Arabidopsis thaliana: one gene and its partners. The protein of the gene in region 1 purifies or fractionates together with the protein of each later gene. This does not show direct contact. Each region holds a gene or a part of one and is shown on either strand. Other genes may lie near its edges.

Evidence for each region.
Region 2: the proteins of alpha-ADR (region 1) and AT5G46630 purify together in Arabidopsis thaliana (affinity purification with mass spectrometry; 4 studies listed by BioGRID, with this or other methods). This does not show direct contact.
Region 3: the proteins of alpha-ADR (region 1) and CLC2 purify together in Arabidopsis thaliana (affinity purification with western blotting, with the first as the bait; one study listed by BioGRID). This does not show direct contact.

Annotation. Positions count from the first base shown.
Region 1 is NC_003076.8:7,583,820-7,591,606, forward strand, and holds the start of alpha-ADR (alpha-adaptin), read right to left. Parts: upstream 4,504-7,787; 5' UTR 4,208-4,503; coding exon 4,082-4,207; intron 3,340-4,081; coding exon 3,208-3,339; intron 2,857-3,207; coding exon 2,731-2,856; intron 2,518-2,730; coding exon 2,455-2,517; intron 2,373-2,454; coding exon 2,275-2,372; intron 2,195-2,274; coding exon 1,987-2,194; intron 1,789-1,986; coding exon 1,717-1,788; intron 1,637-1,716; coding exon 1,544-1,636; intron 1,156-1,543; coding exon 1,054-1,155; intron 955-1,053; coding exon 857-954; intron 311-856; coding exon 229-310; intron 96-228; coding exon 7-95; intron 1-6. Other genes in the region: AT5G22785 (uncharacterized protein), read left to right, coding at 5,824-5,886, 5,897-6,025; AT5G22780 (Adaptor protein complex AP-2, alpha subunit), read right to left, coding at 6,281-6,437, 6,524-6,603, 6,719-6,790, 6,877-6,957, 7,177-7,302, 7,390-7,476, 7,581-7,745. UniProt on the Arabidopsis thaliana protein: Subunit of the adaptor protein complex 2 (AP-2). Adaptor protein complexes function in protein transport via transport vesicles in different membrane traffic pathways.
Region 2 is NC_003076.8:18,917,530-18,925,924, forward strand, and holds AT5G46630 (Clathrin adaptor complexes medium subunit family protein), read left to right. Parts: upstream 1-2,908; 5' UTR 2,909-3,050; coding exon 3,051-3,133; intron 3,134-3,300; coding exon 3,301-3,478; intron 3,479-3,593; coding exon 3,594-3,684; intron 3,685-3,808; coding exon 3,809-3,903; intron 3,904-4,056; coding exon 4,057-4,146; intron 4,147-4,230; coding exon 4,231-4,279; intron 4,280-4,371; coding exon 4,372-4,510; intron 4,511-4,585; coding exon 4,586-4,702; intron 4,703-4,773; coding exon 4,774-4,864; intron 4,865-4,955; coding exon 4,956-5,098; intron 5,099-5,193; coding exon 5,194-5,308; intron 5,309-5,396; coding exon 5,397-5,531; 3' UTR 5,532-5,642; coding exon of another isoform or gene 5,643-5,723; 3' UTR 5,724-5,916; downstream 5,917-8,395. Other genes in the region: AT5G46620 (uncharacterized protein), read right to left, coding at 321-494, 1,324-1,599; AT5G46640 (AT hook motif DNA-binding family protein), read left to right, coding at 7,141-7,657, 7,774-7,829, 7,996-8,127, 8,211-8,372. UniProt on the Arabidopsis thaliana protein: Subunit of the adaptor protein complex 2 (AP-2). Adaptor protein complexes function in protein transport via transport vesicles in different membrane traffic pathways.
Region 3 is NC_003071.7:16,723,641-16,730,686, forward strand, and holds CLC2 (Clathrin light chain protein), read left to right. Parts: upstream 1-2,783; 5' UTR 2,784-2,923; coding exon 2,924-3,210; intron 3,211-3,558; coding exon 3,559-3,712; intron 3,713-4,025; coding exon 4,026-4,361; 3' UTR 4,362-4,567; downstream 4,568-7,046. Other genes in the region: AT2G40050 (Cysteine/Histidine-rich C1 domain family protein), read right to left, coding at 279-2,108; AT2G40070 (flocculation FLO11-like protein), read right to left, coding at 4,738-5,001, 5,081-6,217, 6,525-6,639.

The DNA of each region.
Region 1 (7,787 bases):
CCTCACCATGATAGATCAGGAGCAAACTTCTCAGCAAGGATAGCAGCTTTAAGTGATAATTCTTCCCGCATGGAAAACTCTGCTGTGCTAAGATACTGCAATATATTTTTAGCTTCCATGTAAGCTTAAACACTACACAACTTAATCCTTCCTTTCTGTTAAACTTCACAAATCATAAGGAGACTAAAAATCAAGAAATATTAATATAAAGTAAGGTCAAAGACTTACCTGCAGCAACTCTTCGACTATATCCTTTGCATTTGACACATCACACATCCCATATAATAAATCAAGAGCACGCCTACGAATACTGCAGGAAAGTTCAACCAATAGTGAATCTGACACCATAAGCAAAAGAACCAAGAGATGATAAATCAAACTATATGTTTGTAAAACGGAAGCCACCATTTGCAATGGAAATAAGATCAAGACATAATGGACTGTGGTACTTATCCATCTTTTACTAACAAACGTCATCGAAATAGTGCTGACCCACCGGCCAATAATATAATAATATAATATTTCTTATGTGACCGTATACCACATATAATTATACCTATAGCTTATCACAAGAAAACAAATCAACAAATAATGTTTCACTAAAAAATATAGATCCCATTTTCTTAAAATTTCATATATACTACCCAAATCAAATAATTTTAATGCTGACAGAAATAATCTTATTCACAACTACTATAGAGACAAAGTAAAAAACGGTATATTAAATCATAAGAAGTAAGACCGATTTGATGATTGAAAAACTGTCGTACTGGTTCCAAATTAGAACAGTAACGAGATACTGATCCGGGTTCACAAGCCAGAAAAGCTGATGCTTAGATGGCAAATCTAAACCAACCTGATGTCAGGGTCTTTCAAGGAGGTGATTATCTGAGACTGATGCTTCTTTATGATATCTTGAACATCTGTGACCATCAGCATCCGCGTCATATTTTCCTGTAATTTTGTCAAAAAATGCATCATGAGAAACCACCAACCACTTCACAAACTACTCCAGCTAGGCTTAGATGCAGGAAGTGGTATGCAAGATCTCACCAAGCCTAGATATCTGATGTTGGGCTCACGGACAGAAATAAACTTGCCAAGAAGAGCAACACACTGTGACATCATTTCCTTCTCAGCATCAAGATGCATGACCTATATCAAAACACATTAAAAAGTTAGGAGGTTGCACACTAAGCCAGAGAACTGTTAGGAACAATTAAGTCAACTATCCATGATAAACCTCTTAGAAATAGTGGCGAAACCTTCAAGCAGAGCATCTAAATTTATTTTACTTTCACACAAGAAAAACAACAGACAAAGAATATCGTACAATTAGCTGCAAGCAATTCAAACACTTGAAGTTTCTCTAGCAAAGCCAAAAAATATATTTTAAACGTCCATGCACACATCAGTAGTCTGCTTTGAGTAAATGCGTCTTTACAGGACGTTGAGCAGGGGTGAAGGGGAAGAGAGAGAAAAATAGGTGCCCACTAGTAAAATTCATGGTATCAACATTTCCCCAGCTATCCGACGAACTTACCAGGGATAGAGCTTCAAACAGCACAGCATGAGACGCATTGTTTTTATTCACATTTTTCACAACATCTGTCCCCATCAATATTCGCTGAAGGACCTGAAATTTCCATGAAATGCCATGCCATGAGAGGAAATTCAAAGACATATATTACAGATTTACACATGAAAATATTGAACCTCAAACAGAGCTTTTCTGGTACTGGGATCTTCAATGGTCGGGAAATATTGAAGAGCCCTCATTGCCTTAACCTGTACTAACCAAAGATATATAAGTATCCACGATATCTTTAACTGAGTAACAAAAATACACCAAAGCTGGGCCAAGCCTCTATTTTCATAAGCTAATTTCACATAAAATGTTTAAAATGCACAGGATTTGTGAAAAGGATGCGATTAAAGAATATTTAAGCTATTAAACAAGAGTGAATAAGCCGAGTTAAGTCAAACCTGGAGCCAAGGAGATGGGATGCCATAGTATGTGTACTCCTGAGGAACATCTTGGTTCCTAGCAAGGCGTTCTAATATTTTGACACATTTAGGTAGACAACTTGAGTACGCCTCATGATTATTAGATACCAGAGCTACAAGAAGACTCGTAGAAGACGTCAAGACACCAAGATCTCGTTCATCCAAAAGTTGTGCCATACGATCCGCCCTGGAAGTATACGACAAAGAGAATATGAAAGATGCACTAGTAAAATCAAAGAACCAGTAACCCCACAGTGTTATACACACCAGCCATCCACGTTGACAGCATCAGGATTTTTTCGGAATAAGCGCAGTAGGCACAGTGCTGCTTTTTTCCTTACAAGAGGTCTGCAACTACTAGAAATCTGCAGCAAAGAGACCCCATAACATAATATGTTTAGTAATATTGGAAAAAAATATAACCTCTCATCTTTAGGAGTCACTTACAAGTAGCTTTTGAACATCAGGTGCCAATGATTCAGCAAAATCCCTTCCACCGATATTTCCAACCTACAGGAGAACGTAAGCATGGCAAGGTAAGAAAGCTAGAAAGAAAGGACCAGTTTCATGAAGTAAGTGGCTCTGAATCGTGAAATGATAGAGCACAAAAGACATAATGTACCAAAGACTTCCATTAAAACAGTCATTTAACAACATCTTATAATCAGAAGAACCTAACTATGCTCTAAAATCTCAATACAGGGTGGACAAAAGACCACATACCAAGGTCAGTGCTAGGCACTGGAAAGTCTCATTCCGACCAATAATATCGTTCCGCACTGTATTTATTGCCAACTTCAAAAAGTCATGGTTCTCATTGAGCAAGCAAGATGTAACAATGTAGCCAACCTGTAATCATGGATGAAAAGTTCAATACCTGCAAATTAGTTAAGGAGCATGAAACAATATAAATTGGAAATACAAACCCTTGAGATACAATGCATGGTTCTGGTTAAGAGTTTCTAAGATGTTACTAAGTAACTCGTGCTTATAAGTAATTGTCTGCAATACTTTCCCAGGTCAAGTCAAGTTGCAAACGCATGAAATGGTATCTAGATCTAACTGTGTGATCTTCAATGAAACTTTCTTTGTTTCAGCTTGATCAATAGAATATATTTCAGCAAACACCTCCATCTATTATCTTCTCCTAGCCTTACAAAGAAAAATTTCTTTGTTTGAGCAAACAAAACGTTGGTTTACCTGCTTTTCTGGATACTTTGGCGCAGATATAAGAGAAACCGCCTCCATATGGCCAAAATCCACATCGTAGCCTAGCATATGTATATAAAGCATTTTCCAGACATATTTCTTCTTTTTATATGGTGTCAAAACCTGCAAAAATAAAACAGAATGTCAAGTAATCAAAGAGTTCTTGATTAATTCATTTCTAACATGAACCCCGAAAAAGAATAAGTTTAATGTTGGTCCAACTGGAAACACATGGATCCACTACAGGCCTGCTACAGCTCTGCTACGTGTAAGATGGAACAAGAATTTCACTCCAGAAGTTCTTACAGCAACAAAGCTTAATCTACTTCGTAATGAGCTATTCAAAATTTTCCGTGACCATGATTTAATTTCTTAGACCATCACTACATAACCGAATTTACTGCCAGACCATTCTTTTCTTCTAGTTCCTAAATGTCATCATATATTCAGTAATGAAATTCCAAGTTGAAAGCAATAGTAGTGATGTTTCAAAAGGTAGAATAATTGCTAATCTACAAGGATTTGAGCTAGCTATACAACGGCAACATTATACTGCCTATCTATTTTCACAATTGGTGTTAAATCAAAATTTATTGCCTCAATCCGATAAAGTAAGAAACTACAAGCTCCAAAACTATCCACTCGGCATGTGACCAGTGACTGTATCTTTGTTTCATCTACATTCTTATCTAACTCCCTAATCAACCTAATAGCTCTAACATTCGATTGCATTGGCATTGCAACTGCGAAGGATAAATCTCCAATATCTCTAATAAACCAAAACCTCAGCGGATACTCGACACTGAATTACCTCTCTAATGAGAATCAAAACATAGAAAATAGAATGGAGAGAATTGAGAGTAACCTTCTCATTCTTGAAGCATGTACGAATGTTTCCGAGCTCCTTATCAACTCGTAGTCTCTCCGCTTCCTTGTTCTGGCAATTACGAACGTCGCTGATAAATACGGAGAGACCTCTCATTCCGGTCATGGTTGAACCAAATCCTCAAATCCACCGTGCTCCGCCGCCTCACACGGCGCAGATCCAAACTCGCGGCACCGGATCTAACTACGAGATAAACCACAGACTAAAGCTGAAGCATAAGCAATTCGAGAGAGGTGAGATCGAAATCCCAATCTAGAAACGGAAAATGGCACCTTCAATCGAAGAAATTCAAAAGGAGAGACTGATCTTTGGAGAAGAGAGACACGCCTGCGGGAGAGAGACGAGAGACGACTTTTATTTTTCTTTATTTACAACTTTGACTATTCAATTTTGTGTAATTCAGTTTTTGTCTGTTTTGAAATTGGAATCCGAAATTGACCCGTCGAAAAACAGAATTAACGCGTCTAGACATTTGGACTAAATTTGAGGATTTATAAGTTTGCGTAATATTTTGTTAAAAAGTGTATCCTTCTGCCTTTTTGGGTAATATTTATTTACTGCTGTTTCTGGTTTCACTTTTTCATTTATTTTTAAAATGACTGTTTTCTGTCGCGGTCAATGCATTCAGTTGTAATTCAATGTACCATGAGAAAATCCTTAACAAAAAAAATGTACCATGAGAAAATCCGGTTATGAATTCGGGTCAGGTCAGGTCATGCAATGGTTTAGCTGGTCCCAACTTTTTTTTTTTTTTTTTCGTCAGACATGGTATTTGTTGGTATTAGTGGGAACGAAACAAATGGTTTATACGCAGTGCTGATTTGATTATTTTTTGTTATGAGCATTTTATAATTTTACTCAATGTATTATGAAATCTTTTGAATAAAGATTTTAGATACTCTATATTTCAGATAACAATTTTGCTAGAATCATTGCAACCAAATTACTCTGGTGAATAGGAAAGTATTGTCACTACTCTCGTTTTTGAAATACTAAATGTGTCTCATAACAAGATCATAATCTACAAGACGATGAATAGGACGAATTGTTGAGCTAGAAAAGCAGTGACGGCGATAGCGTATGCTCCTAGGATGTTGTTGTTTGGCAGTTTGAGTATCGAACTCGTAAACTTATATAACTAATGGAAGCACCAACCATTAAACTACAAGGCTTTTATATGATTGTGATGATAAAGCATCAGCTTGCTGGGCTTTAGATTTGGGTCGGCCCTGCTTATTGAACATTTTTAGTTTTATGGAAGATATTGTCCCTTTGCGTTAGCAACATCGGCTGATTTCTTAGGTATTTCGAACAGCTCCAATATCTCGGTTGAGTTTTTCTTCAAGGCATGACAAATTTTAGGGTATTCGATACTTTAAGAGAAGTTGCTTCTTCAACTTGAGCGACATTGATGTTGGTGAAGCAAACTTGCAAAAGTCAGACTTACTCAAATTTTGCTTAATCACTCTTGTTTCACAAGCCCCGGATCTAGGGTTCTTATATTTTTTTTTATTTGCAAAATTACAAATGATATAGTAATATAAAAAAATCATACTTTTGTCAATTACAAATTATGTAGTAAAAACAAAAAAAAATCATGCAAAAATTGATAAAACAGCTTTTAAATCCATAAGCAGTTTGTAAGAAAATTAAAAATAGTAAAAAAAAAATTTTCTTTCAATTATATTCTTCAAAGTAATAGTAAAAATCTGGTTGTATATATGTCGGTTGAATGTCCCACCAAGGCCAAGTCCCCACTCTATTCACACCTCAAATTAGATCAGGTTTTTACAGGTGAAATGCTATGCGTTGGATGTGTTTTTGCAATTTCCCCCCTTTATGACAACATTAAAATCTCTCAATGTGAAGGCTGGTGCGAAAAAACAGACCTCCCATCAGAAAACTCATGGAGAAACAGATTGAAAATATATAGGCACAAGAACAAGCTGATACAACCACTGACCTCACAATACAAATGTTCAGAATGAATGCAAAATTTCTTACCTAACGCAACCCGCCCGCTTTGGATAAACGGCACAAATATAATCAAAACTAGCTTTTTTCTCTCCCTTGGCTCTACATTTACTCTCCCATCATTCCATATTTTCGCCATTACATTCTACAATAACAGAAAACAAACTTTTCGACATGTGCAAGTAATCTTTTATCCCAATGAATTTAAAGTAAGCCAGCAAGCATAGCTCCTGGATCATCAGCTAAAGCCGCTGGGCTAGGCGGTTGAACTGCTGGTGATGGTGCTGGACCTGCTGCTGGAACTAGAGCTCGAGATCCCATTGGAATAGTAATTAATTGTTCCTTGATGAATTCTTTTAACCTGTAGATAAAAGGGGTCAACAATTGCAAATGAAGAAAATCTGTGATCGAGGTTGGGTTTGTGATTAAGAGGCAGATATATCATACTCAAATGTAAGGGTAGGATCTCCCGAGCCTACTGTCAATCGTAGTTGGGTTCTGTCCGCTGGGTCTGTTTCAATTCTTGCCTGAAAATCGCAAACCAAGGAAAATGTCACACGTCATTACTATAAGTCTTAAGAAATTTTAGAAATTGGAGTGGCAAGTGCCAAAACCAGGAAGTGAAACTTGGTGAAATCTCACCAAACAGAGCATGGCTCCTGTAGTTTCAGAGTAGAAGGTTGTGCTTGCCACTAGATTATTAGGGTTTGGATCCTACGACAAAAAACAATACAAGTTAAGTTTGAAGTATACATGTGTGCATGAGGAATGAAGGTTTGAGATCGTAAACAACTACTTACAAGCCCAGGGCATATCGTCACATGAAAACTGTTGAACAGATTTGCCATTTCCGGAAGAGCTAGAGGTCTTACACCTCTTACCTGAAAGAGATTGCAGTATCAGATTATATAACGCATAAAAGTAATGCTGCATTAACGAGCATGTGTAGAAGTGTTGGAAGTTCTCTATAAGTGTTGTAGCGAAAGCTAATTCACTAATTTCATTGAAAAGAAAATTCTTAGAAGCCTTTGACTACTATCCTGCGCTACTCAAATACTTTTAGTTTGATATTTGATCAGAGAAGCTGTGGAGATACATACCACTTCCTGAAGTTTCAAGGGTGGCCCTGAGATTGCTCTCCATTGAGGGAAGAACTCTTCAGATGTCAATTGTAGAGGTTGAAGAAACTTATTCAAGGTTGCCGGGATGCGTAATTTGGCACTGACCTATAAAAGATCCAGCATATCAGGTAGAGTCACAGATACTAAATATACCATTCACCAAAACAAGCTAAGTACTGTTGCAGTACGTACCACGTTTGTACCAAACTTGTAGGAGAAATCCAAAACTGCAACATCCCTACTAGGGCGGATGTTCATCACTTCAAGCGGAGATTGTACCTATAACCATGAAAAAAATTGCAACACTTAGTACATTATGCATAAATGAGTAGAAAATGACGGATTGAGTAGTCAAACTTAAATAAATCAACAAACAAAAGTACCTGTGCTCGAGGAGGAATTGTATCAGGTACTGGAGACAGATCCAGTCTTAAGTGGGCAGGGGGTAGTATCAGAGCTTGAACTGATGTAAGTGGAGAAGTATTCTTGTTTCCCATGAAGAGAACAAGTCTCCCATGGTGTCCTCTCCATTCAGCTTTGATGCCAATCTGAGGAATACAAACAATCAACAAAATGGGAACATAAGAAAG
Region 2 (8,395 bases), about 11 Mb from region 1:
CTTGCTATTCAATTTATAACAAGAATCTAAAAACATCATATCGAGCGAAAATTGGAGGTCTTGTATAAGAAAAGGATTCATATGTGTGCAAAACAGAGAACTTGGTAGTAGTAGTAGAAATACACAATTGCACAAATGTGTTTAGATAATCCCAAAGAGAATCACTGTCTATTTTCAGAAACTAAATTCACAGTTAAATAACATTATAAGTTCTCAAGAATCTAATGGATTGATATCGAAATTAATGAAACACAAGTTCTAACCTTTCTCTGATTCAATCACACACTATTCAGCAAATCTTTCTCCTTGGTTTTCATTGTTCAATGCATTAATGGCTGAAGTTTCCCATCAGAAGATATCACTAAACCTCTCACTTTTGCAGCTTTTGTTTTGCACTTTCTTGGTAAAGTCTTGCAGTTTTGGTCTTCTAAGAACTCATCTGCAACATCTCCGTCTTCATCAATCTTAAGCCGCATCGAGTACCAACGTAGTCCCTGATCCAAATAAGAGGTTCGCTAGTAAAATTCTCGGCTCAGACTCTAATTTGAGTCAATGCCATCAAGAAGAACTCAATGAACCAGATACACATAATCGCAGAAAGATAACTGAATAATCTTGGCAATATAAATCTTCTTGCTTATTATCGTCTTTCTCTACCAATATAACTAATTAAGATTCTTTAAGGTCTTTATTTTAGCATGGGTGGCTTATGATTAATACTTGTTTCGAGGAACTTTCTTCTGCCGCAACTAATCTTACAACAAGCTAAACCACATATCCCTGACATGGCAGTATCTTAAGGACTATACATTAACTTTACGAGCAAAGATGAATGAACAGAGAGTAAGAAAAGACAATGAACTACAATTACAAAGACATCAAAATCTATAAGATCATTCAGAGAATTTGGAAAAACCATAAAGAAATGACGAATGTAAAGTCATCTACTGAAGCATATAAAGTACTTTTTATGAAACACAAGCATATCGAAGCCAATCTTGAGGCCATATTAAAGTGAAAAAAAAGCAAGGCACCCGCACAGAACATGAAATGAATGTAGGCCACAGAGACGACTGAATCTTCGCAAACTCACAAACCAATTTATTATCCAACTTAGTGTGATCCAAACCAAAGGTATGAATACACAATCCAGCTACAGAACTAGCATGAAACTGCACTATGTGATACCACATTACAGATCTTCGTAAGACTTAACCATAACTCTTTATCTAGCTAGCAACAAGTAATTCACATATTCTCATGAATTTGATCAATCCCTAGAGTTTCACTAACCAATATCATCAGTCAAAAAGGAAAACTGACCTGAACACCACCGTCTAAAGCAGCACAAGGCTGAAGAATAGGACCAGGATTCGACCGTTCAACAGCAACTTGAACCGGTACACCAAAACCTTTCCTTGGTCCAGTTTCACGAAATCTCGTCTGATTCTCTTCCCGACGTTTATCTCCATCACCAGAAACAGTTCCAGTGTTGTTATCTCCACCATCACCATCTTCATCTCTCACAGCTCCATGACCACCACCACCATCGTTATGACCAAAACCAAGTATACCCGTTAACTTCTTCAAAAAACCCATTAACCCCAGATATCAAATTCGATCTAAAGCCCTCAAATTTAACAGCTTTTCTCTCAAATGAATGATCTTCCAAAATTAGGGTTTTCGAATATCCCTTTCCTCTCCCGATTTTTGCTACTTTCTCCGATCGCTTCTTAATCCAACAATATTCATTTCCTACTGTTAAAACCCAGAAATCTCTGTCTTTAATCTCTCTCTCTCGTGAACACTGTGTTAATCTTCTTATGCACTGCAACAAATTATAGAAAGATGAATTTTTTTTTGGATCAAAGACGGATCGAGCAAGATCTTCTTTTTATCATTAACGGCGCGGTTTCTATTAATATACTAAATAAATATTCCACATTTTTTTTTTCTCTCGTGAGTGAACAAAAAAAAAAATTGCGATCATTTACAGTTTTACTTTTACACATCACTGACATCAGAGAGAATTGAACAAAAAAAATTCGAAAAGTTTCGTGTTAATCATATATATGAAAGTTGGCTAACTCTCTCCAAATGATTGACACATCATCATTTTAGCATTTGCCATGTGTCTATTAAGTAATTAATGTAAGCTCTTCAACTTCTAATTTATAAGTTAATGATATATTTATTATTTAATTTTACATATTTAATTATAGTATTACTAAATTTATTTTAATATTACATGATTTTTCAATAAAACCATTTAATAGTTTTCTCATACTCGAAGATTTTTTTTTGTAATCCAAACTCAAAGTATGAGTATATAATAGTCGTGGATTATTTAATGATTTGAGTAAGTTATTTTCTTAAATTGATATTATATTCTCTTAAATTTATATTTATACAATAAATCATTGAGGTTGAAGAATACGTAAGGAGCTCCATCATCAAATTCTTAGGTTTCTAGAATCCAAAACTACCCTCTCTTAAGTTGGTTTAATACAAACGTTATTTATGAATTATGTGTATGATGCATTGTTGAGAATGTTGTTAGAAAAAATATTTTTAAAATTAAAAGGAATTGTTTATTGTATAAGTGAATAATTAGATAAATAAAAATTATATTTAAATTAAACAATACGAAAAAAATCCGAAAATACCGCGGCGTAGCGCAGGTGATCACCTAGTGTTAATAATTGAAAATTAAGAACTTCTATACATTGTTTGTTACCTAACCATTCTTCATATGTAAACAACAATTAAAAATGATGAAGGATATAATGTACTACAGGCCCATAATTGAGACGCACAGGCCCAGAATCGAATAAGACCGGCCCATTCCAAAATGACGACTGAATTCAATTTTGTTTCTATTTTTTGATAAAAAAGAAATTAAAAAAATATCGCATTTCAGTTGTTCAACTTCTTCGTCGTCGTCTTCTTCCTTTGCTCCGTCGTCGAGATCTCGTCGAACCTCAAATCTCAAATCTCCTGTAACCAGATCGTCTAATTATCCGATCTGCGTTTCGAATCTCAGATCGAAGATGCCGGTGGCTGCTTCCGCCATCTATTTTCTGAATCTCCGTGGCGATGTACTCATAAATCGCACCTACCGAGATGACGTCGGGTAAGAGAGCTTCTCCTTTTCTTCACCGTCGATCTCTTTAATTTTTTGAATTCGGCTTCATTTTCAGCTCCATGTTTTGTTCTTATCGCTTCTAAGTAGTCGTACTTTGTAGGATTTTAGCTGTGAGATTTGAGATTTTAAAATTTTGATTTGATTTTGATACTTAGGGGAAACATGGTGGATGCATTTCGTACGCATATAATGCAGACGAAAGAGTTAGGGAATTGTCCTGTGCGTCAGATTGGTGGCTGCTCCTTTGTTTATATGCGAATCAGCAATGTCTACATCGTCATTGTTGTCAGTAGCAATGCTAATGTTGCTTGTGGATTCAAATTTGTTGTTGAGGTAAACTTGTTTTTGTGTTTCATTTTAATATTCCACAATTGTTTTGATTCTTGTTCAAATTTCAAGAGAGTCAGATTGATTCTATACACATACTGCTTTTGATTCACATTTTCAGGCTGTAGCTTTGTTCAAATCATACTTTGGTGGAGCTTTTGATGAAGACGCTATTAGAAATAACTTTGTTCTGATTTATGAATTGTTGGATGGTAAGTAAGCCTGATAGGGTCATGATCAAATCACTTTCTTATCACTTGTAAAGTTGCATTAGTCGTTATATGTTATTCTATTTTGTGGTAACACCAATGAATGATATTTTGTATTGAATTGCAGAGATTATGGACTTTGGCTATCCACAAAATCTCTCACCTGAAATTTTAAAACTTTATATCACTCAGGAAGGTGTACGGTCACCATTTTCATCGAAGGTAAAGGCATCTATTTGTTTGTGTATACAACAGATTTTGTAATTGTGTTGGTGTGTGGTTCTTCGAAGTTAAGCAGTATTTCCCGCAATAAATAGAGATTATGTTGCTTCTTCACTAGATATGTTTGCATTCATAAGCTTCTTTTCATTACAGCCAAAAGACAAACCTGTTCCAAATGCAACATTACAAGTTACAGGTGCTGTTGGTTGGAGAAGAGAGGGCCTTGCTTACAAAAAGAATGAGGTGAGTGTTGAGTTTCTTTCTGTGTGTATGTAGATCGGCTAGGTTGTGCGGTAGTGATGATATTTTGCATTCTCTCAAACGCAGGTGTTTCTGGATATTGTGGAAAGTGTAAACCTTCTGATGTCCTCTAAAGGTAAATAATTGCCTTTTATGAAGTTTTTTGAAGTTGTCTTTCTTGTTGATTTGCTGTGTATGACTGGTTTTGCATTTTATGGAAACGGTTAGGCAATGTTCTTCGGTGTGATGTGACGGGGAAGGTTTTAATGAAATGTTTCCTTTCGGGAATGCCTGATTTGAAGTTGGGGTTGAATGATAAAATTGGTCTTGAGAAGGAATCAGAAATGAAATCTCGCCCAGCTAAGAGGTATACGTTGTTAATACATTGAACATCAGTAGCCACTGACTTTTCTTTGTGCTAACTGACTCTCGTTTTGTGCAGTGGTAAAACCATTGAGCTTGATGATGTCACATTTCACCAGTGTGTGAACCTGACCAGATTCAACTCCGAGAAGACTGTTAGTTTTGTACCACCGGATGGAGAGTTTGAACTGATGAAGTAAGTTTTCGAATGTCCACTGTTGCAAATTGTTCTGGTACCAAATGTGTATTAACTTTATGATGTCTCAGGTATCGAATAACAGAGGGTGTAAATCTGCCTTTCCGTGTATTACCAACAATCAAAGAACTTGGTCGTACACGTATGGAAGTAAATGTCAAGGTACATAACTTTTCTCAAGGATTACAGGATACAAAAAAATTGGCTTGATCTTTGCTCTCTTACAATCCCTTCCCGTGTTTTGTCTGTTCAGGTCAAAAGTGTGTTTGGTGCTAAAATGTTTGCCCTTGGGGTCGTGGTTAAAATTCCAGTGCCAAAACAAACAGCCAAGACCAATTTCCAAGTGACAACTGGTCGCGCTAAATACAATCCATCAATCGATTGCTTGGTTTGGAAGTGAGTTTATATAATTTCCCCTCATATTCATCTCTATAATTCTTTTGTTGGTGTTTTATCAATCATTCGGCATCTTTCTCTCTTTTACTCTTTAGGATAAGAAAATTCCCAGGGCAAACAGAGTCCACGCTAAGTGCAGAAATTGAGTTGATCTCAACAATGGGAGAGAAGAAATCTTGGACAAGGCCACCGATCCAAATGGAATTTCAGGTCAGTCTTTGTCTCTTTTAGGCACTGTTAAATAGAACCAGATTTGCTTAAAGCAATTATTAACCGTCTCAGCTTTGTTCTTTTCTAGGTGCCAATGTTCACAGCATCTGGTCTGCGAGTTCGTTTTCTCAAGGTACGCATTGTTATCTATGCTTTTGAAAGTACCATCCTTCCAAAAAATGCAATGCTAAGTAGCAGAATCTCTAAGCCATTGTGTCATTAAATCCGTTCAAATCTTTTATGTGATTTGCGTTTTGGTTAATCTGTCTCTGGTCTTTCAAAAATTGATTGCTATACTACTTTTTTGGACCTGACTATCCGGAACGATTGGCAGGTTTGGGAGAAGAGCGGTTACAACACGGTCGAGTGGGTTCGATACATAACGAAAGCGGGATCTTACGAGATCAGATGCTGAACATTAAACACAGTTCAGGTTCAGTGACATCAGACTTAAAAGTTTCATGGCTTCTAGTTTTTTGTTCCTTATGCAAAACAAAAACAAAAGAGTTAAATATGTTTTATACCTTGTTTTATGTTTGTTTTGTCGATTAGAGATATCTGTGTTAATATGATTTCTTATGTCTTAATTTGGTATTGAATTCTGTTTTTCTTTCTTTCTCTGTTTGTGAAATTGTACGAGATATAGTTTAGATTAATTCTGGTGTAATCGAACGTGATAGAGTATTTGTGAAAGCAGTCGGATTCTTTTTAGTAGTAGAATCGGGTGTAATATGTTAATGAAAACAAATTTTACTTGAGAATAGTTCGAACTTCGAAGGTTTTTACACATAACATAGATCGTTAAAATCTTTTGTAAGTCTACTAATTCTTCAGAAACAAACGGGAAATTGTAAAAGTAATAGACTATCAAAGCTACACCCAAGTACGTCTTTCACTCGTGGTTGGTTATGCATGATCGAATTTCTATAACTTCGCTTATGGCAAATGTGGTCATGGTGGTTCTTTGGACTGTGTCATGTGGCTCTCTGCCCACAAGACACCAGATATCATGGATACTTTGCTACTCACATGCAACTCAAATATGGTCTAAGACAACAAACATGATTCTATTGAACTGCTTCTCCATCGATTGGGATCACCTCGTCGGTATTCTGAAATCCACAAGCTGGGTGTCTTGTTTTTGCATCACGTTACTTTTCAAAGTTCCCTATAATGTTTGACGAGAATGCAACAACCGACGACATGGATACCTTCCACAAATATCAATAACGAATTCTGAAGTTTAAGGATTTTTAACTTCAGAATTCGTTATTAATCATTCACAAGTTATTGTGTTATTTTTTATAATATATCCAATGCAAATACTCTTTTTTCTCATCTCCAAACTGAAGTATTTTTATTTTTATAAACTCTTAATAAAAACGGATGACCACAAATATTTCTGCTATAATTTGGATGATAATGAAAACAAACCAACTACAATCTACTAAAGATTCAAAAATATTTTCTCGAATGCTTAAACCTCACGTAAGTAAATACCAAATCAATTCAGATAAAATTAACAAAACAAACTCAAATAAAATCTCCTAAAAATCCTATAAATAAAAAGATGATTTCATTTTTTTTCTTCCTATTAAATTTACATTTTCCGCCACACTTCATCTCTCCCACTAGTCTCTCCTCGAGACTCTCTCTGTATGTGTGCGAGAAGCGAGAAGCGAGAGAGAGAGAGAGAGAGTTGTTAGCTCACACGCTTTCTCTATTTTCTCGGAATTCACAAAACAGAAAGTTTCATCCTTTACGAGAATTAAGCCGAAAGAAACAATCTTTGAGTTTGATTTCTTCTTCCTTCCTTCTCTCTCTCTGCTCTAATGGATTCCAGAGACATCCCACCGTCACATAACCAGCTTCAACCACCACCGGGAATGTTAATGTCTCATTACCGTAACCCTAACGCCGCCGCTTCACCATTAATGGTTCCCACTTCCACATCTCAACCGATTCAACACCCTCGTCTTCCTTTTGGCAATCAACAACAATCTCAAACGTTTCATCAGCAGCAACAACAACAAATGGATCAGAAGACTCTTGAATCTCTTGGATTTGGTGATGGATCACCTTCTTCTCAACCGATGCGATTCGGGATCGATGATCAGAATCAGCAACTGCAAGTGAAGAAGAAGCGAGGAAGGCCGAGAAAGTATACTCCTGATGGTAGCATTGCTTTAGGTTTAGCTCCTACGTCTCCTCTTCTCTCTGCAGCTTCTAATTCTTACGGTGAGGGTGGTGTTGGAGATAGTGGTGGAAATGGAAACTCTGTTGATCCACCTGTTAAACGTAACAGAGGAAGGCCTCCTGGTTCTAGTAAGAAACAGCTTGATGCTTTAGGTATAAGCAAGTACTCTAAAGTTTGAATCTTAACACGTTTTGTTTTAGATTACATGCAATTTGATTTGATGGGTTTGTTCTGTTTTGTTTATGTGTGTGTGTGTGTGTGTGAGTAGGAGGAACTTCAGGAGTTGGGTTTACACCTCATGTCATTGAAGTGAACACAGGAGAGGTAAAAAGTTGTTGTTCTGTCTTAGTTATCTGAAAATGTGTTTTGTTTCATGTTTCAGGATTGGTAAGTTAGAAATGTTTGAAATAAATGTATTGGTTTAGTGAATTTTGATGGAGGAATGAGTTTTAAATGATGTTGTTATGTTAAATTTACTTACTATATTCAGGACATAGCGTCAAAGGTGATGGCTTTTTCGGATCAAGGGTCAAGAACAATTTGTATTCTCTCTGCAAGTGGTGCAGTTTCTAGAGTGATGCTTCGTCAAGCTTCTCATTCTAGTGGAATCGTTACTTATGAGGTTTAAAATTATGTTCTTTTGATGTCTTTAGTTTTAGTATTTCTGTCTTAAGTGTTTAGATTTGTATGTGTGTGCTTTTTCAGGGACGATTTGAGATCATTACTCTCTCAGGCTCAGTCTTGAATTATGAGGTAAATGGTTCCACCAACAGAAGTGGTAACTTGAGTGTGGCTTTGGCTGGACCTGATGGCGGCATCGTAGGTGGCAGTGTAGTTGGTAATCTAGTAGCTGCAACACAAGTCCAGGTACAGAATATGAACTCATGTTA
Region 3 (7,046 bases), on another chromosome or scaffold:
GATGTTTTGACATTGACTATTTATCGAGCAATGCATTTGCCATCTCATTTGCTTCTTGTTTGAAACCTTCGAGAGACGAAAATGATTGCCTTTCTAATCGCATAAGCACATGGTTAGAAATTATATCTTGTGTTGACCGATGCAGCTCCTCCGGCAGAAAATCATCTAATTCAAAGAGCTCTTGTGTAATTGCACGAATTGAGAAATCAGTTTAGTTTTATGAAATTGAAATCAATAATAGAGAAATTACATTTTATTCAGATGCATGGATACATTGTTTAAATACATTCATATGAACATTCAACACGGTAGCCTACATCATATATTTTCCCTATACAACGGTTCTTGCAAGAACCACATAATGGTCGAGAAATATTACATTTGGGAAGAACTTGAACCCTGCATACCCATTTATTGAAATATTGACCGGGCTTGATATATGGGTCTCCACCAATTAAGCATTCAATATGAAAAGTGGTGCAACACTCGTTGCACCAGTAGAATACTTTTGTGCATGTATCCTTTAAACTACGTTCACATATTTCACACCATTCTTGCTCACGTACTTCTTCACCAAATGAAATTGTGAGGAAGTGTGTGTCATGCTTATATTTTATTTTGTATGGTAAGGTAACACACTTAAAACATACAATGAAATTGCATTTGATGCAATTTAATTGTTTTAAACATTCTGTTTTGCATATATGACATATGGGTTTTATTTCTGGGTTTAAAGCTAGGAACAAGGGATCTTCATGACCTTTGTAATCAAACGGCTCAGAAATTAAAGCGCACCTTACATCAAGCTTGAAAAAGTTGCATACCTCCATCCTACAGTGATAGGCAAAGCCAATAGAACCACGATCACAAGCGTTGCAACGGAAGGTATTGTAAGTAAAGCTATTGATAACCTCCAATACAAGTGGGTGAGGATGTAAGGCATGTTGGATTCTACGGGGAGCCTTAGCACATGTTTCATGGAGGATGAAATCACACTCCATACAAACATATAAGTTACCTTCATAGATAGGAATGGCACACGCTTGACAAAGCATGTTTTCATCATAAACGTTGCTGACCTCGAGTCGGAGATGATGATTATGATGAAAATAAAGTATCACTCCTTCAGATATCACCTCGAACGGTCCATCATTTTCTGTTATATCGATTATCTCTGGTATACCTTCGAGTTCTTTTCCATCCCACACATCTTTCCCAAGAGCGCATATTGAATGAACAACATAATCGCTACACGTGTCACAAGTATATGCACCATAATCAACGTTAATACTTAAACGGCAAACTCCACAAAACCATTCTCTAGATGTAAGAGAAAAAGTGAACGAGATACGATGACGGTGACGTGATATCTTGATGATGTGTGGGGAATTCATACAGTCATTATGAGTTACAAAGTTACATCTGAAACAAACGTAGGTGGGATAAATTTTTCTCAACAAACCACAAACATTACAAGTCAAGGAAGTTTGTCTGGGGAAAAAAGTGAGAGGATGGATATGCTTTTTTGGTGGGTCTATAAGAAAAGGTATTGGCTTCATCGCACATATGGGATGCATAAAAGCCTGGCATGTGGTGCAATGATAAATCAACCAATGTGCTTTTCTTCCACAACATAAACACTCAATCTTACGAAAGTTATCATCATGAAAGAAAAGTTGGAGATAGTGCTCAGGGTGGTAAGGATGTTTGATTATAAGTGGAGATTGAATGCATTCTTTGTGTAATTTTATGCTACAATAGTTGCAGAAATAATAGTCGGTGCCGGAATTTGAGCCTTCGCATATGTAGCATCCACCATCAGCATCAAATTCTTTATTGTTGCACCAAAACAAAGGGAGTACATGATGATCATGAGAGGTCGTCGTTGTAGAAAGGACGTACTCGGGGGAAGAATTAAGCGGATAAGTGTCTGAATACGACTTGATTTTTCGACGTCGTGATCGAGGGCATAAGAAAAGAGGTTGAAGGTCACTGGAGGAGGTTACGGTCTGTGTTTGGGGTATGGGGCAATATTTCGGATGATGGTATACCAAAACAAGGTTACCATCCTTTTCCACCTCATAAAATCCTCCGACGCTAGAATCCATGAATGTGTTAAGTCTTTGTTTATTTTTGTTTTAGGCTTTTATAAAAAAATATTTGTCATACAAGATATCAAGTTGTTAACATTTTTCCTCTATAAATACGAAAATTTGATTCCAAAAGTTTTCTTCTACTCTTGATTATTAATATACTTAAACGTGAAAACATATGGTTGATTTTGTTCCTTTTCTCAGTAGTTGTGATGATAATGTTCTTCTTTACATGCAAATAAAGAATCAACTTTTCTTTGCACATAGTTTTGTTCATTTCTGATGTTCCATGACTTCAAGACTCTATATTAATCGTGCTCAATGATTGTGCCAATTCATTAGTAGTGTATAATTTGAGACTTTGTGAACTCAATCACGAAACACACAAAAAGAAAATGAAGGTTTATTCAAAAAAAAAAAAAAAATGAAGGTTTGAAATGGAAAATGAAACAATCGTACCAAAACCAAATTGCAAAACGTTTTAAACAAGAAAAGAAGAACACGTAGTTTCAATGATCCGGTTGAATTAGAAAGTAGAACAACCGAACCCACACTAAATTGCAAAACGTTTTGATTAAGATAAGAAGAACACGTATGGAACATTAATTGTAATCTAATGGATCGGTTGGAACCTAAACCATAACTAAACCGGAATACTCATGATGAATTGGAAGTATTTGGGCTCGAAAAAAGCCCATTAAGAAAAATGGAAATAAAAATAGTCACAAATCTCCGTTATTAATTTTTGCCATAAGCTTGAGAACACTTGAAAAGACAAGATTCGCGAGTTCTTCGTTCTGCCTTTTTTTTTTTTTTTGTGTGTTCGAGAGATGTCTGCCTTTGAAGACGATTCCTTCGTCATACTCAACGATGATGCGTCTGAGTCTGTTCCAGTCTCAGGCTCTTTTGACGCCACTGATTCTTTCTCAGCTTTCGACGGCTCACTCCAAGTCGAGGACTCCGTCGACGATGTTTTTGCAGCGCCGTCTTCTGACTACGGTGCTTACTCCAACGGTGACGGCATCTTCGGATCCAACGGGGATCACGACGGTCCTATCTTGCCACCACCGTCGGAGATGGAATCAGATGAGGGATTTGCTCTTAGAGAATGGAGAAGGTTAGATCTACTCAAAGTTTTGATCTTTGTTGCTTTTTGTTTACTTCTTCCTGAAGAAAATCGATAAAGTGGATAAATTTAGTTGAGAATCTCTTTGATAATCTGAGAATTTCAATTTTGAATTTTGATTCACAATTTTTGTGAATTGAAGTTATCTGCTAGTTAGTGTCCATTGTTCTCAGAAGTAATCAGTTTATTAGATTGGATCTGTTACTTTTGCTTAGAGTTTATTGCTCAAATCGTGTGTTCTAGAATAACATCTTGATCCGTAAGCTTGTAATGCTTGTTGAGTTGATTAAGATGTATAGATCTGATTTCGTGCTATGGCTTTATTATGTTTATGTGTAGACAAAATGCAATTCAACTTGAGGAGAAGGAGAAGAGAGAAAAGGAATTGTTGAAGCAAATTATTGAGGAAGCTGATCAATACAAAGAAGAGTTTCATAAGAAGATTGAAGTAACTTGTGAAAACAACAAAGCAGCTAACAGAGAGAAGGAAAAGGTTTGTTCTTTTGCTAAAAGATTTGAATTTTTTATCATCTTTTCTCAATCTGTGTTGTTGTCATGTGGTTTGTGGAGAATTGTCAATGCAAGTCAATGGCTTGTTGATATTAAAATTTTCAAACTTTGACCATCTTAGTCTTAAGTCAACTGTGATTGATTATCTTAATGCATTGTCAGTTTTGAGATTATCTTAATACATTGATTATCTTCATTACGTGTGTGATCTTTGATACCTTTTTATCTGCATATTGCATTGTTACAGTGTTGATTAAACTTTCACTTATGTGTTTATTTGTCTTTGAACACTTAAGCTGTATCTGGAGAACCAAGAGAAGTTCTACGCGGAATCCAGCAAGAATTACTGGAAGGCAATAGCAGAGCTAGTTCCTAAAGAAGTTCCAACAATAGAGAAAAGGAGAGGAAAAAAAGAGCAACAAGATCCTAAGAAGCCAACAGTCTCTGTGATTCAAGGTCCAAAGCCCGGTAAGCCAACCGATCTAACAAGAATGAGACAAATATTGGTGAAGCTCAAACACAACCCACCTTCTCACCTGAAACTCACTTCTCAACCTCCATCGGAGGAGGCGGCTGCTCCTCCAAAGAATGTTCCCGAAACCAAGCCCACTGAGGCAGTTACTGCTGCTTAAAAACCTCCTTTGTTTTCTTATTCGTTGCTTACATCTGTGTGAATTCAGTCTTTGCATTTCATTATGTGTTATAAACAGCTGAGAGATTTTATGGTTCATGTGTGTTATTAACATAATTATGTCATATTGGAATGATAACTTTTTATGTTTTAGTCAGTTACCATTGAATAGTGGTTAATATCTCAAATCAATCGGTTAAAGGATCCATCCATTTTAGGGTTAAAGTAGAGACGAGAGTGGAGAGGTTTACATAAAACATCAAAACGCTACTTCACATATCATCATTATCAAACTCGTGTGATAATTAAAACTCACAAACAATAAAAGAGAATCTCAAATGTGAACGTTTTACAAAAGGCTTTTCTTCTTTCTTCCTTCATCTCCCTTGTAAGCTTGCAGGGGACCTGCAACCTCTCTCGCTGCCTGCGTCGTCTTCCTTTTCACTTGCCTCTAAGCAAATGCCATTGTTGTTGCAGACACTGATCTCTGAGCTTGCGTTGCTGCTTGTTGCTAGTGGAGAAGAGTCTGAAACATTCATCGGTCTACCACGTGTATGTCCAGACCTCACACTGTACATTGATGATGCTGGAATATTCGTCATTAGTGGTCTCAGGTTCCCTGGAATAGTTCTACGTATATCCTGTTTTCATCAAAACGTTTGATCATCAGTTAAACGCAATTGCCACCACTTGAGGAAGAGAGAAGAGAGAGATACATACCATATGCCTTATTGCCATATCAAGGGACTTCTTGGAGAGCGTTCTTCCAAATCCTGCACTGTCGGGTGATGAAGACTTTGCAGACAAGTTACCATGAGGAGAACCCTTGTCATCTGATCTGGGTGGAGCAAGTTTCCGCATGTTTATTACTCTCTCCACCATTTTTGTTCCCATCATCACCGGACTAACATTGTCACTGGCTTTGGAATATCCACGATTAACCGCAGGAACAGAGCTACCACTAGAGTACATTGGTGCTCTTCCTCTTGATGGTGAACATGATTGCCTTCTTGGTCTTCCTCCTGGAGGGCCCCCTGGCTCAACTGAACCAGAACGAGAGCTTGGAGCTCCAGGTCTGCCTCTTGTCGCTGAAAGTGGCCTTTCGGGTAATGTTGTCCTTAGATTTGGAGGAGTTTCTAATGAGAAACCAGGCATGTCTGACGGCTTCCATGGTCTTGACCTCACTGTAGGAGATGCTGCACGAGATAAAGCAGGGTTCTTAGATGGTGTTGGCATAGGCTTTGCTGGCGCTGGAGAAGAAGGCTTGATTTGGGATATTGTGGGATTTGCTGTAGTAGTTGCAGCACTTGCAGAAGCAATTGGACGGCGAGTTGGTGTAGATGACCTTGATATGGTTTTAGATGGAGGAAGTGTGGGTCTTGAAGTTGGTGTTGAAGATCTGGCAGTAGATCTTGACAGAGGTGTGGTGGACCTTGAAGGACCTGCAGATTTTGTGGTGGTGCTAGGGGTAGATCTAGTTACTGAACCAGCAGATCTAGCAGTTGAGGTAGTCGGCTTAGATGCAGTAGGTGTGAGCCTAGATGATGATAAACTTGTTGACCTACTCATAGGCGTGGGCTTAGTCGTTGCAGATACTGTGGACCTCGAGTTAGTCAAAGAAGGTCGAGTAGCTGAGGAGACAGTGGCTCGCGAAGTGGGTGTTGAAGGCCTTGAGGATTTTGAATTTGCCGTCAGTGTTGATGATCTTCCAGTGGGTGTGGCAGGTCTTGATCCAGGTCCTCCAGATGATGAAGGTCTTCGACTTGCTCCACTGGAAGAGCTCAATCCAGGAGAAGAAGTTTGTTGTCTAGATGTTAGATGGTTCCTTGCAGCAGACTCTGTTGAGGAATTTGCCAGCTACGACAGATAATTCATAGGTTACCATAACGAAGTAGTGAAAATGTGCTACTCTAAAAAAAATCCAGAGCAACATCCCACATAGCAATAACGATAAATGCGATTTACTAGTGTAAATCATGAAACTTGAAATGTAAACGTCACAGACTGATGCGGCAGGTTAAACTAGTAGTGGCGATTCAAAACATATAAACAATAACAGCAGAGCTTTATTTTAATACTGGTTGCACTACATTAGGTTGTTTATCTAGTATCCATTCCAGGAGTTGATAAAAGAGGTCAGAACACTAAGCAATAACATTCTTACTCTGGAAGTCAATGTAGCCGGGCGACTCTTTGAATCACCAGTCTGACTCATCATAGTCCTATGTGATTCCATCTCCAGCGATGGAAATAGAGGCGTACCTGGAGGGGTCAGAAGCCTTCGAAAGACAAGAAGAAGTTAGGGTGGAAATGATAAACAGATAAATGATATATTGTTCAAGAAAGTATATGAATGTCTAAGAAGAGGTAAACAGAGATGCTGGAATGATGAACACCTTATGCAGCAAAATTCTAAACTTGATAAGAATTCAGTGCAAGACTCGCACACCTCACAAACAAAGGGTTCCAAATTGTGACACCAAATTCGAGTCTATTAGATTAAACACATGCCTTATACAGAATGATGTAATGTGAAGAAACAACACAATTTCAAGGAAACAAAACTACCACACATATATTACTTCAGAACCTCATGGTTAAGATACAGCAAATCAGTAACTATACTATCACAAAGAATACTTAAACCGCCTGCACTTAAGGTGGCTAAGAAAATTCAAACCATCAC